Linked DNA regions of Anolis sagrei. The protein of the gene in region 1 interacts with the protein of each later gene in a pairwise test. Links are inferred from orthologs where the notes say so. Each region holds a gene or a part of one and is shown in the gene's direction. Other genes may lie near its edges.

Region 1 (8,663 bases):
TTTTTGGGAAGAGGAGGCACACAAATGAAGGGGAGGCGATTTGGGTGCAAAGCAGCATAACTGTTTCTGAAACTAGCCATGCAATCATTTCATGTAACACTACATATATAACACTATACACTCAACAGAAGTGGCCGAGTTCTCTTATGAGCAATACTGGGAATGTTGCTATGCCATAATGATGTGTAGGAGGAAGACAATATGCAACCTTTATAGTACATAAATGAGAAAAATATAAAATGTGCATTGACATAGCAGAAGAATATGAAACAGCAGGATATTAAGTCAATGTATGTACTTTAAAATGGTGATAACAATGTATAGAACACATAATATTCCTAATGAGCTTTTTCTTCACAACTCTTCACAACTGGCACTTCTTCATTAATATTTTCCTCATTTTATCAGATTACCTTTGAGGCAGAACGTGGGAAAGGCACAACTGGAGAAATCGGAATGGATACCGTAATACTATTTTCTGGCTTGTGTCCTGAAGACCACCTTGCATTAGATATTTGAATTTATGGATTTCATTGCTATTATATTATTTGTTGTACTAATAAATATTTTGTATTGTTGTTATCTAGATGAAATACCAATCTAGAAACAATATCTTGAACCTCAAATCAGTCAGATAACACATTTGTATATATAGTATGCTAAACTTTGTTTTGTATGTTGCTTTATTTTGTTATAGCAGGGTCTTACAGAATGTGAAAATATTTCTCTAGCTCTTCTTGCAATAAATGTGCTTTATTGTATACAACATTCCCTTTGAAGAAAAAATCTATTTTTAATTCTATCTCATTCACTTACAACAGTGGTTCCCAACCTTTTTTTGACCAGGGACCACTCTGACCCGGGATCACTCTCCAACATTAGTACCAAAAGGGTTACAAATCAGTTTGTGGTTAACTTTAGATTTGGTTTGGTTATTTGGGGTGCGATTCATAAAATTTCATTGGATAGACCACATCTCCTCTAGTTTCTGATACAGAACATATGTCATCCAGTATTTGCCATGTGCTTGCCCACAGAAAACCATTTTTAATAATCTGGAGCTGATGTGGTCTATCTAAGGAGGGGTGGGGCTGGTCAGCGACAGGGAAGGAGTGGCAGGCTGCGCAAAAGGATTGGAAATAAGTTCAATAAAATCAATCAATCAATCAATCAATCAATAAATAAATAAATAAAGAGAAAGGAACCTCGCAGACCAGATTTTTGTCATCACTGCCCACTGGATGGTCCGTGGCCCACAGGTTAATAACCACTGACCTACAAGAATATGAAGCAATATCTTTGAAAGAATGTTTTATTTCAAGCAACATATAGGGTACAGTGGAGTAAATGTAATTGTATAGAGCCATGGTAAGGAACTGCAAATGGGCTGGGTGTTCAATCCACATCTTCTACCCATACATAGTTTTCCCCCCATATCACCAATTCATGCCCATGTTTTTGTTGAGATTCCTCTCATCATTGCAATAAATTTTCATACTATGTTTGCCAGAGGTACTTTTTACATAATAGCATTCTCTCACATTGCTGGATCAGGCTGTTTCTCTGTCTTGTTGTAATAAGAGAAATGAAGAACATAATCCAAAGGGGAATCAGCATATTTAAGACCCTGAAATCAATGGACGTAAATGTATAACTTATATGTGCCTATATGCAAGAAAACATATGTTTGGTTCCATCTCTCTTGTGTGCATTTTTGCTTAAGTTATTCATATTTCACTATGGGGAGAAAGTGTATTCTGCGTGTCAAAATATGAAAAATGTGAATTGCCTTTTGTCCTCCCATTATTCTTTCTTCTAATCTGTAGACACAAAATGTTCTTACAAAGAAGCACTGTAATTAATCCTCCTCACAAGCGTCCATAGTTAACAGAATACATGAAACAGATATTTCTGTGCTGAATGATGTGTCCAAGTTCTATTGTTTTTGGGACTTATTCAAGTTTTAAAAATAAATAACAAGATGTATCTTCAAATGTTTAATATTAAATCTGATGACAGATATGTACTAAAAATTAGAAAAAAACATTTCCAAAAGCAGTGTGATCTGTATAAGTTACGAATTGTAAACTTGAAAGAAGTTATTTTGAAAACACATACTATTTGTGCTCTGTGTGCATTGCATACTGTTTTTCATTAGAATTAAGCTTGTATTGTAACTGAAAAGACAAGAAAAAGTTACAAAAATGTTGGTGTTGAACAAGTATTTTCTTGTGCTAGTGAAATGGGGAATATAAAATTAGAACACATAATCTTCATTTGCTGGGTTGTTGTAGGTTTTTCAGGCTATATGGCCATGTTCTAGAAGCATTCTCTCCTGATGTTTCACCTGCATCTATGGCAAGCATCCTCAGAGCATCTTTAACCCTATCTTTAATCCTCTTTTGCTATCCACCGACATTCTGTTTTTTGTTCTTGAGTTGAGAGTAAAGCAACTGCTTTGGGAGACGGTGATCAGGCATTCGGACAATGTGGCCAGATCAGTGAAGTTGCTGGCGGAGTATCATCACTTCAATATTGGTCGTCTTTGCTTCTTCCAGAACGCTGATGTTAGTCTGCCTGTCTTCCCTAGAGACTTGTAAAACTACACCTATGAGATACTAGGATTGTCTAGTCGAGTACTACTCAAAAGTGGTGGTCGACAATGACCACCAGGGAAAAAAGAATTGCTCCACACAGGAAAAAAAGAATTGCCAATTTCTCACATCACAGATTGGCAATTTTAAGAAGTACTGATCTGTTTTAGTTACATGTGGAAATCTGCCGAGGAATCTTAACACAATCACATTCCATTTCAAAATGAAAAGATTTTTGTAAAGAAAGGTGAATGGAGAAATCAAAATAATAAGTTCTCTCCAAATACTTTAGGACTTACTTTAAACCAAATTAATATAAACTCAGCTAGATTCCATGACACAAGTCAGGAAAGGAACAAATCATCAAGTTGGAGGTTTTTCCTTTACATCTAGCTTCACTTTTTTTTCAATACAGCGAGTCAAGTTAAATGTTCCTCTCTACTAAAAAGTCAGTCCCAAATGGCATTCCTTACAGAGCACAGATAGGCCTAATGCCTTCTGGCTGAGTGGGAGCCAGTGGGAGCATACATAGTAGTGTGGAATAGCTGTGATCTAAATCTGATCAAAGTACATTAATACGGGATATAATGTTTAATACACCCAATGGTGCCCTCTTCTGGTTTGTTAAGGTTTAATGCAGAAGCACGAGGAACTTTCAACTTGTTTTGGGCCCCTTCCACTCAGCCATATAACCCGGAATATCAAGGGAGATAATCCACAATACCTACATTGAACTGGATTATCTAAGTCCACGCTGCCACATAATCCAGTTCAATGTGGAAGCTGAGCATTGGTGGAGGTTTCTTTCTTTTTTGCAGCATCCTTACAGATACCACAGCAGGGTACAGATATAGTTAGAATAATAAAATCTAATTGACACTGAATAAACTGGGAACATAAAAATGAAAAATGAGCACCCAACCCAATAGCTTAGAGACGAGAGGTGAAGAAGGCACACAAGAGAAATGTTTAAATATTTGAAAGGACATCATATTGTTAGCTGCTGCTTTGGAGACTAGGACACAATGGAGCGGTGGATTCAAATTGCAGGAAAAGAAGTTCCACCTAAACATTAGGAAGAACTTTCTGACAGTCAGAGGAGCTTTTTTGGCAGTGGATGTATGGCACCTGGGATTTAATGGCAGTCCCCCATCCAAGGACTAACCAGGACTGACCCTGCTTAGCTTCCAAGGATACGATTTCATTGTAGAATTGGCTCAATCCTATGGAATCGTGGCTGTTGTAATTTTAAAAGGTTTTTAGCCTTCTCTGCCAAAGAGCGCTTTAGCCTTGTCAAACTACAGCTCCCAAGATTTCCCGAGCATTAAGCCATAGCGGTTAAAGTGGTTTCAGGCCACATTGTTTGTACACTGTAGATAAGTGTTTATCAGAAGAGGTCATGAGGAGGTGTCAGAGGGGTCGCCAAAGACCATCAGAAAACAGTATTTTCTGTTGGTCATGGGGGCTCTGTGTGGGAAGTTTGGACCAATTGGTGGGGTTCAGAATGCTCTCTGATTGTAGGTGAACTATAAATCTCAGCAACAACTCCTAGATGTCAAGGTCTATTTTCCCCAAACTCTACCAGTGTTCACATTTGGGTATGTTGAGCATGTGTGCCAAGTTTGGTCCAGATCTATCATTGTTTGAGTTCACAGTGCTCTCTGGATGTAGGCGAGTTACAACTCCCAAACTCAAGGATAAAGGCCACCAAACCCTTCCAGTATTTTCTGTGGGTTCTGTGTGCCAAGTTTGGTTCAATTCCATCATTGGTAGAGTTCAGAATGCTTGTTGATTGTAGGTGAACTATAAATCTCAGCAACTACAATTCCCAAATGTCAAGGTCTATTTTCCCCATACTCTACTGGTGTTCACATTTGGGTATGTTGAGTATTTGTGCCAAGTTTGGTCCAGATCCATCGTTGTTTGAGTCCACAGTGCTCTCTCTGGATGTAGGAGAACTACAACTCCCAAACTGAAGGTCAAAGCCCACCCTGCTCTCCCTGCTCTCGCTCCCACCAGCGTCACAAATATGCCTGGTGGGGATGAGAGACAGGACCTTCTTGGCTGTAGCTCTCCACCTGTGGAACTCGCTTCCCAGCATTTTCTGTGGGTCATGGGAGTTCTGTGTGCCAAGTTTGGTTCGACTCCAGCATTGGTGGAGTTTGATTGTAGGTGAACTATATCTCCCAGCAACTACAAATCCCAAATGACAAAAATCAATCCTCCCCCAATCCCAAATTTGGGCATATCGGGTATTTGGGCCAAATTTGGTCCAGTGAGTGAAATTACACGCAGCATATCAGATATTTACATTACAATTCACAAGTTTGTAAAATGACAGTTATGAAGTAGCAACAACATTAATTTTATGGTTGGGGGTCACAACATGAGGAACTGCATTAAGGAGTGGCGGCATTAGGATGGTTGAGAAACACTGATGTAGATAAACTCACACCAAGGTTTCAAGGGCTTTTTATTTCCAAGTCAAAAGAGATATCAGATATTCTAAGAGATATCAGTACAATTGCTCTGACGCAATTGATAGCCCTCAGCAACAGCGGCTGCGCAAAGACACAGCCCACGCCGCGCATGCTCAGATTGCCCAACGAACCGCAAAGGTTCTTTCCAACTCACGCATGCGTGGTAGGAGCCCGAGCAGGAGAGGGGCGGGGCCACGGAGGGTGAGCTGAAAGGCCTCCTTAGGAAGGATAAGGTGAGCAGATGAGGAGGGATTTAATCATACCTTTCGGGGAAAAGTGACTTTGGGATCATATTTCGAATAATTATACATATCCTTGTTTATAAGAGATGAGTAAAATCCTCGTGTTCCCATCTGTTGTGGCCTCTTCCAGTTTTGTGATTCTATATGTGGAGTAGCCTTATTGACCATGAAACAAAATCCCAGATCCACTTTTATTAGGTCAGCCAGAAAGTGCAAAAATCATGATGTGCTAACTTTTGAACCACTCTGGCTCAACAATAGATGGATTAATAAGATTATGTAAAGACAGATGTTAGAGTTACAGGCCTACATTTTGCTTGTTTCGAGATGTTACAGAAATAGCAAGTTGTGCAGACAAATCCAGGCCCTGGGCCTCCCCTCCAAAAACAAAGCAACAAAAGTAATAAAGCAAGGTATTAAAACTACTATCCTCCAGCTGTTAATAGTGCCTTTGGGGACTCAGTAGTGCTTCCTATTATGTCCTCCCTTGAGACCCTATGTTTGGTACCAGCAGTCTTGGCTCCATATGACAAACAGCCTTTCATATGGTTTGGATCTCAAGAAACTCTGTCATATTGAAGTATTGAAGGATAATTAAGGTTTTCCACAGGTAACCTGTTATTATTTTGGTAGATGTGATTATGCTAACTCTGGCCCAGCTTACTTGTCTGAATGCATATTCCGCTACGTCCCGCCTTGCAGTTTAAGATCATCTGGGGAGACCCTGCTCTCGCTCCTGCCAGCGTCACAAATATGTCTGGTGGGGATGAGAGACAGGACCTTCTTGGCTGTAGCTCTCCACCTGTGGAACTCGCTTCCCAACGAGGTAAGATCAGTTTCATCCCTCCTGTCTTTTAGGAAGAAATTGAAGTCGTGGTTCTGGGACCAGGCTTTTGGACAGCAGGCATAAATAGCGCTTGGATATGGAATTTGACTGGAATGGTTATACGGCAGTTAATACTGTTTTTATTGTTTTAATTAATGTTCTATTATTGTTTAATTGTTGTTATATTGCTTTGTTATATTTAATGGCATCAAATTGTGCGAAATGTAAACTGTCCTGAGTCCCCCTTCGGGGGTTGAGAAGGACGGGGTAGAAATATTGGAAATAAATAAAATAAATAAATAATCCAGTGTTTCTCAACCTTCCTAATGCTGCAACCCCTTAATACAGTTCCTCATGTTGTGACCCCCTAACCATAAAATTATTTTTGATGCTACTTCATAACTGTAGTTTTGCTACTGTTATGAATCGTAATGTAAATATCTGATATCCTGATGTATTTTCATTTACTGGGCCACACTGGGCACACAAACCCCATACATCCAAATTTGAATACTGGTGGGGGTTTTTTTTGGGGGGGGGGAGTAGATTGATTTTGTCATTTGAGAGTTGTAGTTGCTGGGATTTATAGTTCATCCATTTCTTTTTACTTTGAACTACACTGTAATAAATTATCCGATTTACGTAGTCATTCTACATAGGGCTGCAACGTTACTCATTTTGTTTTATGCATTTAAAATAATTATTTCCTACTAGGACAAGGTCCCCTGGTGGCATAGCAGGTTAAACTGCTGAGCTACTGAACTTGTTGACCAAAAGTTCAGCAATTCGAATCTGGGGAGCAGGGTGAGCTCCTGCTGTTAGGCCCACCTTCTACCAACCTAGCAGTTCAAAAACATGCAAATGTGAGTAGATCAATACCTGCTTCTGCGGGAAGATAACGGTGCTCCATGCAGTCATGCTGGCCACATGACCTTGTCTACGGACAACACAGGTTCATCGGCTTAGAAATAGAAATGAGCACCCCCCCCCCCCCCAGAGTCAGACATGACTGAACTTAATATCAAGGGAAACCTTTACCTTTATCTTTTCTCCTAGGACATGACAATAAGCATCAAGAAAACATATGACATTCCAACAATACGTTGGTTGAATGTTGGATGAGACATTTATTGAAAATCCATCTATTCATCCAGAAAAATGATCTCAATTTGATTACATTTGTTGTGTCTGTATTAATATAGAGATGTATGTATAGTGCCTTCAGAGAAACATAATTCTTTCCATTTCTTTCAGGATTTGAAATGTCTAATACAAAAGTCCTCACATCTAGAGCTGACTGTATAGAGAAGCTACTGTCAGAAAGAAAATACCAAGATATTGGGATTCATCTTACATATCTTGAAACGATTGATATCACTATAGATGACTTGCAAGAGACTGATGTGGCCAAAGCTGTGTTCAGAGTCTTCAAGAATTGTCCCTCCGTGGTCCTGAAAAAGAAGGCAAAGCACTTGCTCTCAAAGTGGAAAGCAGTTTATAAAAAGCATTGCAGTCCATCAGTACAACTTCATTTGGGGTTATCTGAAAATGCAAATGAGGATTCAGATCATCTTCAAGTAGTCTCTGAAGATATAAACCCTTTGGGAAAATTGAACCAGCAGGAAAAATTGTGTCCTGCCAGTCCCAGTCTGGCATCAGAAAGCCCTTCAAGTAATGCTGGAAGTTGTGTGCAGAAAGATAATACAACGGAACCAGATCTGGGAAACGCCAATTCTATTAGTGAAACAGGCCAACAGTATAGTCCCATTGTGGCTGTGAGGGCGAAATGCACACAACTTCTTTATGAAGCATTGACTGATTCCTCAACAAGTAATGAAGAAATTGCAAAGCACCACAAAACAGCTGAAGAAATTGAACAACACATTTTTGCACTTCATGCTAACAATGATAAAAAGTACAAAAATTGCATCCGGAGCAAAGTTTCCAACTTGAAAAATCCAAAAAATTCTCACTTAAAACATAGCCTGCATATTGGAGTTCTCACTCCTCAGACATTTGCTAGTATGTCTGCAGTGGAAATGGCACATGATGAACTAAAGCAGCTTCGGGCTTCGTATACAAAATCAGCTGTTCAGGAACACCAGCTTCCCCAGAAGATCAATGGTACACTTACAAATAAAATAAAATGTCGGCGCTGTGAAAAATTTAATTGCACTGTGACTGTGATAGCCAGGGGAGCTCTTTTCCTTCCTGGTTGGGTACGAAGCACAGATCCAGATGAGCAAATGATGACCTACGTAATATGTAATGAATGTGGGGAACAGTGGTACCACAGCAGGTGGAATTGTTTATGATTGTATATCTTGTAATGATGATGTCTTCAGAGAATAATATATGGAATTATTAAAAGGCAATTAACTGAATAAGAAAATATGTTCAAGCTCTATTAATGTTTGTCATGAAATCCGAAAAAAATAAGATATGACAAAATAGTTACAAAACTACCAAAGGGAGTGGCCCAATGAGTCTATTATGTTTGGAATTATTAGATTTATGCAAG
Region 2 (7,758 bases), on another chromosome or scaffold:
ACACCGCAGGTTGAAGGCCTCGTGTATCTTGTCTCCTGCATATGCCATCACTTGGGGACCCCTCCCCCCCAAGCACCAACTGCCGCTCTGGGCCAGAGTGAAGGGGGGGGGCAGGGGACAGTTCCACCTTGTCTCCTGTGCTATTGTAATAATATAATATAATATAATATAACATATATTGTATATACATATAATTGGAGCCCCCGGTGGCACAGTGGGTTAAAGCACTGAGCTGCTGAGCTTGTTGATCAAAAGGTCGCAGGTTCGACTCCGAGGAGCGGCGTGAGCTTCCACTGTCAGCCCTAGCTTCTGCCAACCTAGCAGTTCAAAAACATGCAACTGTGAGTAGATCAATAGGTACCGCTCTGGCGGGAAGGTAACGGCACTCCATGCAGACCTTGGAGGTGTCTACAGACAACGCTGGCTCTTCGGCTTAGAAATGGAGATGAGAACCACACCCCAGAGTCAGACATGACTGGACTTAATGTCAGGGGACTACCTTTACCTTTTATATACATATAATATTTATAATATTACTAGCCGTCCCCTGCCACGTGTTGCTGTGGCCCACATGGGGGCTCTGTGTGGGAGGTTTGGCCCAATTCCATCGATGGTGGGGTTCAGAATGCTTTGTGATTGTAGGTGAACTATAAATCCCAGCAACTACAACTTCCAAATGTCAAGATTCTATTTTCCCCAAAGTCCACCAGTGTTCACATTTGGGCATATTGAGTATTTGTGTAGAGTTTGGTCCAGATCCATCATTGTTTGAGTCCACAGTGATCTCTGGATGTAGGTGAACTACAGCTCCAAAACCAAAGGACACTGCCCACCAAACCCTTCCAGTATTTTTTGTTGGTCATGGGAGAACTCTGTGCCATGTTTGGTTCAATTCCATCGTTGGTGGGTTCAGAATGTTATTTGATTGTAGGTGATCTCTAAATCCCAGCAACTACAACTACCAAATGACAAAATCATTTTTTTTAGTGAAGGACATACATTGGGTTGTTAGGTGTATGTTGTCCAAATTTGATGTCAATTCCCCCAGTGGTTTTTGAGTTCTGTTAATCCCACAAACGAATATTACATTTTTATTTATACAGATAATGTAATGCAATATAATAGTAATAATAATAATAATAATAATATGATATTATAATTATATATTTATATTACATGTAATATTATTAATAATATTACAGTATAATTGATATAGTACAAATAGCAATACTTAAAACTGGTATTGTACTATGCTAATAATATATTGTATGTATATATACCTTGTAAGCCGCTCTGAGTCCCCTTCAGGGTGAGAAGGGCGGCATATAAATGTCGCAAATAAATAAATAAATAAATAAATAAATAAATAAAAACCCAGCGTGAAGGCTGTCATGTATAAAGCTACAGTGTGAAGCTCCACTGTGAAGATTGAATGTTGTGTTATGGAAACCTTGTTTTTATAAATAGTGCAATCATATTATTTTGCTATAAAGAAAACCCTCCTATGGAAGAGAAAACATTGGTCTGTGTGTTTTTGTTCCTTTTTGTCACTTTTGGCAACTGGTGCTGGGTCACACTGCTGCTAATAAGTTTTTCTCCTGTACATTTATGAGGAGGGTCTTTTGTTAATAAGCCCCCTTGCCCAACAAAAGACTCCTAAAGACTCCCAGTATCAAAGCATGACTAGAGGACAACTACAACCTTCTGGTGACAATCAGAAATGGAAAGGAAGAAGGAACGGGTGTAGAACACAGAAGTCTACAAGCAAAGAGAACTGGACATACAGGCTGGGAATTATGGTTAATATTCCTTCCATTTGATGCTTGGGGAGACTAGTTGTTGCTCTTGGATCCTTTATCAAGCATACCTTCCCCTTCTGGCGACTTTCAGACATGTCAGAAAACAGCTCCCCCATTTTCTTAACAATTATCCACCAACTAGGAAAGCTGAAGGAAAGAGCAGCATGGAGGTCAAATCTCACAAGAGGACCCCCAGGCCCCCTTTCATCCCTAAGTCCCCTTCACTCCATCATCAGACCCCCCTCCCAAAAGCAGACAATTGTACTTACAGAATACTGTTGAGTTGCTGGAAGTGCTCCACAGCTGTTACGCACCAGCAGCGCTCCCTCTGACACCCGCACCCGGCGCACTGGCTTCCTTTTCTGGCAGGCTCTCCCAAGATCTCCTCCTCCTCCTCACTTTCTGCCTGGTGGTCCTCACTCATGCCGCTCTCCCCCTCGGACATCCTGGGCTCCCGACTCCTCTTCCGCCACATGTAAATCTTGAAGCTGCGGCCATAGAACTGCCGAACCATCTCCCCGAAGCTATGAGGGGTGCTGAAGAAGAGGACGGCCCGAAGCAGGCTGTGTACCTTGGCCCTGAGCGGCTGGGCGCCCGTCCCGAGGAGCAAGCCCTCCTGTGTCCAGCCCTCCATCATGGTCAGGCTGCGCAGGTAGGGTTCCAGCCGGCGCCAGAGGAGGGAAAAAGCATCCAGGATCAGGAGGGAGCACTGAGCCTCTTCGGCCGTGTTCTCGTGCTGGGACACGCCGCTCCAAAACTCGGGGGAGATGCGCGCCTGCAGATCCATCTGCAGTACCTCCAGGAACCACTCCTCCAGCGCTGAATGCAGGCCATGGGCCTTCAGCACCTCTACCGCTGCGTGAAGGTCCCGCTCCGATGGGATGTCTGCCGGCTCCGACTCTGGCACCAGCGCCTGGGAAACCACAAGAGGCAGACTTAATGGAGAAAGCTTTGAAGACTGAGCCAGAGGTGCAAGGCATGAGGCGTCCCTTGCTATCTCTTTTAGCCATTCTATGTTGTTGTAGGTTTTAAAGGGTCATTTGTATTGTTTATAGCCTTTTGAGTCACTTTGAGGCCCCTTTCATTCATACAGCCAAATGAAATCCCACATTATCTGTTTTGAACTGGGATATATGTCAGTGTGGATTCTGATGTTTCAGCTCAAATCAGATATGTCATCAGTTGGGAACCCCTCCCCCAGCACTAACTGCTGCTCTGGACCAGAGTGAAGAGAGATGGGACCAGGGGACAGTTCCATCTTGTCTCCTGCATATGTCATCAGTTGGGGATCCCCCCCCCCCCCCCGCAACAACTGCTGCTCTGGGCCATAGTGAAGGGGGGGGGGCATGGGACAGTTCCATCTTGTCTCCTGTGCTATGCTAATAATATAAAATAGTATAATATAATATAATATATTGTATATACATATAATATTTATAATATTATAATGTAATGCAATATAATACTACCACTAATAATAATATAATATTATAAATATAAATATATATTTATATTATATGTAATATTACTAATAATATTACAATATAATGGTATAGTACAATAAAGTAATATTTAATACTGATATTATACTATGCTAATAATATAATATATTGTATGTAACTTGTAAGTCGCTCTGAGTCCCCTTCGGGATGAGAAGGACAGCATTAAAATGCCATAAATAAATAAATAAATAAATAAATATTCTGCCTTGATATTCTGGATTATATGACTGTGTGGAAAGGCCCTGAGTCTTGTTAAGAGAAGAAAGCGGGACGTATAACATTATTAACAACTACAACAATAACAACAGCACATGCCCCGTCAGAGACAGAAAGTTCACAAAGGAGTGGGAAGAAGAAAGGACAGCTACAGCCCATGTTGGTGCAGCAGATGGGCTGCACTGCTGAACTTGCTGACCGAAAAGTGGTTCGAATAGCGAGGTGAGCTCCGCTGTTAGCTCTAGCTTCTGCTAACCTAGCAGTTAGAAAATATGCAAATGTGAGTAGATCAATAGGTACCGCTTCAGCAGTCATGCTGACCACACGATCTGGGAGGCATCTACAGACAACGCCAGTTCTTTGGTTTAGAAACTGAGATGAGCACCACTCCCCAGAATCGGACATGACTAGACTTAACGCCAAGGGGAAACGTTTACCTTTACTTTATACATACATATAGACAAACAAACACACATATATGTCTTGTTATACATACACACACCCATATATATCAGTGGTTCCCAACCTTTTCTTGACCAGAGACTACTTTGGCCAGGTAGCACTCTCCAACATTAGTACCAAAAGGGTTACGAATCAGTTTTTGGTCAATTTTAGATTCAGTTTGGTTATCTGGGGTGCTGAATCAGAAAATTGTATTGGATAGACCACATCAGCTCTAGTTTCTGATACAGAACATACGGCATCCAGTAGTCGCCATCTGCTCGCTCACATATTTAAACCATATTTAACTAGCCTCGGAACTATTAGAGGGTTTTGCGAGACCAGTTGCTCCCGTTGCAACAGTGTAGTAATGGTGAGGCTGTGGACCATATTTTAGGTCTTGCGGACCACTAGTGGTCCACGGACCACAGGTTGGGAACCACTGCTATACATGACCCATGAGATGTCTTCCAACTCTATGATTCTATATAATAATAAATACAATATAATGTATTATATACCACACAATAAAACATAACATAATATATTCCATACTATAGAACAGGCATGGGCAAACTTGAGCCCATGCCTGCCCGACCCTTCACGTGTCACCTGAGGCCAGTTCACACGTGACCCCCGCTCCCCCCGTGGCTGCTCGTACCAGGCCCAGGGCGGCGGGCGGGACCAGGCCCGTGCTGAGGGCGCGCCAGGCGGCGGGAAAGGCCATCCCGGCGGAGGCGGAGGAGGCGGGCTCCGTTCTGAGGCGGCGGCCGTTGAGCGGAGAAGAGGAGGCGGAGCTCTCCGCGGCGGGAGGGAGGAAGGAAGGAAGGCGAGCCCGCGGAGACGGAGGATGACCCAGCAAGGGGCCGCCCTGCAGAGCTACAACAACGAGCTGGTCAAATGTGCGTCGCTCAGGCTTCGGCCGGAAGTGTAGGCCTCGCGTTGCTATGGAGACGCGGCCTACTGTGGCCGGCGTCGCAGAGAGACCTTTGGGGCCTTTTCGGGTCGGGGCTCGGAGTCAGAAAGCGGGGACACGTGGGGAGAAAAGGGAAGGAGAGGGGTTTGGGGTGCCTCCGCACTATTAAGGGGTGAAAACGCTTCAACTGTGGCGTCCCTTCTCCCGCGTGGGCTCCTGGGAAATGTAGTTTGGGGCCTAGAACAGCGCGAACACTTTGTTTATCCAGTGACGTCATGACCCCGCCTTCCTTTCGCCTCCAATAGAAATTCGAGGCGGGTGGCACAACACAGGGCAAAGGCAGATAGATAGATTTCATTAGATAGATAAATTAAATTGATTGATAGATGGATTAGATAAATAGAGTGATAGAGTAGATTAGATAGATAGATTAGAGAAACAGATTAGATAAATTAGACAGATTTGATTGATTGATTGATTGATTGATTGATCGATCGATCCATGGATTAGATAGATAAAATGATAGGTAGATTGATAGATTGATCAGATAGATAGATAGACAGAGAGATAGATAGATTAGAGAGATAGATTACATAAATTAGACAGATTAGTTTAATCAATAGATGGATTAAATAGATAGAATGATAGGTAGGTAGATAGATTAGTTTGATAGATTGGATAGATAGATCAAAGAGACAGATTAGATAAATTAGACAGATTAGATTGATTGATAGATGGATTAGATAGAATGATCAATAGATTAGATTGATAGATCAGTTAGAGAGATTTTTTAGATACATTAGACAAATTAGATTGATTGATGGATTAGGTAGATAGATTAGATTGATAAAACTAGATAGCTAGATCAGATAGACAGATTAGATAAATTAGACAGATTAGTGTCATTGATAGATGGATTAGATAGATAGAATGATAGGTAGGTAGGTAGATAGATTAGATTGGATAGATAGATCAGATAGACCAGAAAGATAGAGAGATAGATTAGATAAATTAGATGGATAGATAGATTAGATTGATAGATTAGATAGCTAGATCAGATAGATAGACAGATTAATTAGACAGATTAGTGTCATTGATTGATGTAGATAGATAGAATGATAGGTAGGTAGGTAGATTAGATTGATAGATTGGATAGATAGATCAGATAGACCAGAAAGATAGAGCGATAGATAAATTAGATGGATAGATAGAATAATAGATAGATTAGATTGATTGATAGATAGATTAGATAGATCAGATAGATTAGAGAGATAGATTAGATAAATTAGACAGATTGGTTGATTGATTGATTAGTTGGATTGATAGATGGATTAGCTAGAGGAGATGATTAGATAGATGAGATTGATTTATTAGATAGATGAATTGATAGATACATAGATGATAGGTTGATTGATTAGATATATAATAACAACAATAATAATCTTTATTTATATCCCACCCCATCTCCCCAAAAGAATTCGGGTTATCTTACAGCATAAATAAATACAATAAGTAATATATACAAAATAAATAACAAATCAGCGAAAAAGGGAAAACAAAAAAAATAGACAAATTAAACAATAAACCGTAAAAAAATAAATTAAAACACAGTGGTTCCAATAAGTTAAATACAAGCCAAAATATCCTAATCAGCATATATCCATAACACTAAAACAAAGACCTCGTCCACTTTATTTATTTTTTACGACATTTATATGCCGCCCTTCTCACCCAGAAGGGGACTCAGAGCGGCTTACAAGATATATATACATACAATATATTATATTATTAGCATAGTACAATATCAGTATTATATATTACTATATTGTACTATACCATTATATTGCAATATTATTATTAATATTACATGTAATATAAAACATATAATTTTAATATTGTATTATTAGTAGTAGTATTATATTGTATTACATTGTAATATTATAAATATATGTATATACTATTATATTATATTATACCTATTATTAGTATAGCCTGGAGACAAGGTGGAACTGCCTTCCTGCCCCCCCCCCTTCCACTGGCCCAGAGCAGCAGTTAATTAAAAGGTATTAACCTAATCATTTTCAAAGTCCTTCTTTCAAAGTCCTCCGAACATATTCCCCCCTACGAACCATCAAGATTACTAAGATCGTCTGGAGGGGCCCTGCTCTCGGCCCCACCGGCCTCACAAGCACGGCTGGTGGGAACGAGGGCCTTCTCGGTAGTGGCCCCGCGACTCTGGAACTCTCTCCCGCCAGAGGTTAGAACCGCCCCAACAATCCTGACATTCAGGAAACAGGCGAAGTCGTGGTTATGGAGACAGGCTTTCGAAGAATGAGACAATGATCTGGATGGAAGACGGTGTATATTCGATTTTAGTATGACGACTGACCACTGTAGTTTTAAATATATGTGCTTTTTAAATGTTTTATTGTAATGTGTATTTTGATATTTTACCGATTGTATGTGTTTTTATGGTTGGAAACCGGGCTGAGTCCCTCTTATGAGGTGAGAAGCTCGGTATATAAAACTTTGAAATAAATAAATAATAAATAATTCTTAAAAGTCGTGAGAGTGGCTGCTTGTCTGATCTCCTTGGGGAGAGCACTCCAGAGCCGGAGCGGGGCTCTGTTGAGAGGGCCTTTTCCCTCGTTCCCACCAACCTCACTTGCGACGGGGATGGGATCGAGAGGAGGCCCCCCTCCAGCTTATCTTAAAGCCCAAACGGGTTCATAAAGGGGGATGCGGACATGTAAATAGGGACAACTCAAACCGAAAATTGAGAAACAATTACACGCAAAATATGAAAATTAGAGGAACCAAAGGGTGGGGGGACAGCTTGGAAAGGCACTTCCATGCAGTGTGGACACAACCTTCTTTTGAAGCA

What was found.
Region 2: the proteins of TCEANC (region 1) and SSNA1 interact in binary tests that used the Homo sapiens proteins (3 or more experiments, as listed by UniProt). The two-hybrid records come from large-scale screens. The link is inferred for Anolis sagrei from reciprocal best matches to the Homo sapiens genes TCEANC and SSNA1.

The regions. Positions count from the first base shown.
Region 1 is NC_090023.1:91,729,378-91,738,040, reverse strand, and holds TCEANC (transcription elongation factor A N-terminal and central domain-containing protein), read left to right. Parts: upstream 1-5,218; 5' UTR 5,219-5,307; intron 5,308-5,643; exon of another isoform or gene 5,644-5,729; intron 5,730-5,926; 5' UTR 5,927-5,988; coding exon 5,989-6,142; intron 6,143-7,396; coding exon 7,397-8,457; 3' UTR 8,458-8,534; downstream 8,535-8,663.
Region 2 is NC_090031.1:15,870,277-15,878,034, forward strand, and holds the start of SSNA1 (microtubule nucleation factor SSNA1), read left to right. Parts: upstream 1-4,758; 5' UTR 4,759-4,808; coding exon 4,809-4,860; intron 4,861-7,758. Other genes in the region: ANAPC2 (anaphase-promoting complex subunit 2), read right to left, coding at 2,069-2,712, 4,620-4,685. UniProt on the Homo sapiens protein: Microtubule-binding protein which stabilizes dynamic microtubules by slowing growth and shrinkage at both plus and minus ends and serves as a sensor of microtubule damage, protecting microtubules from the microtubule-severing enzyme SPAST.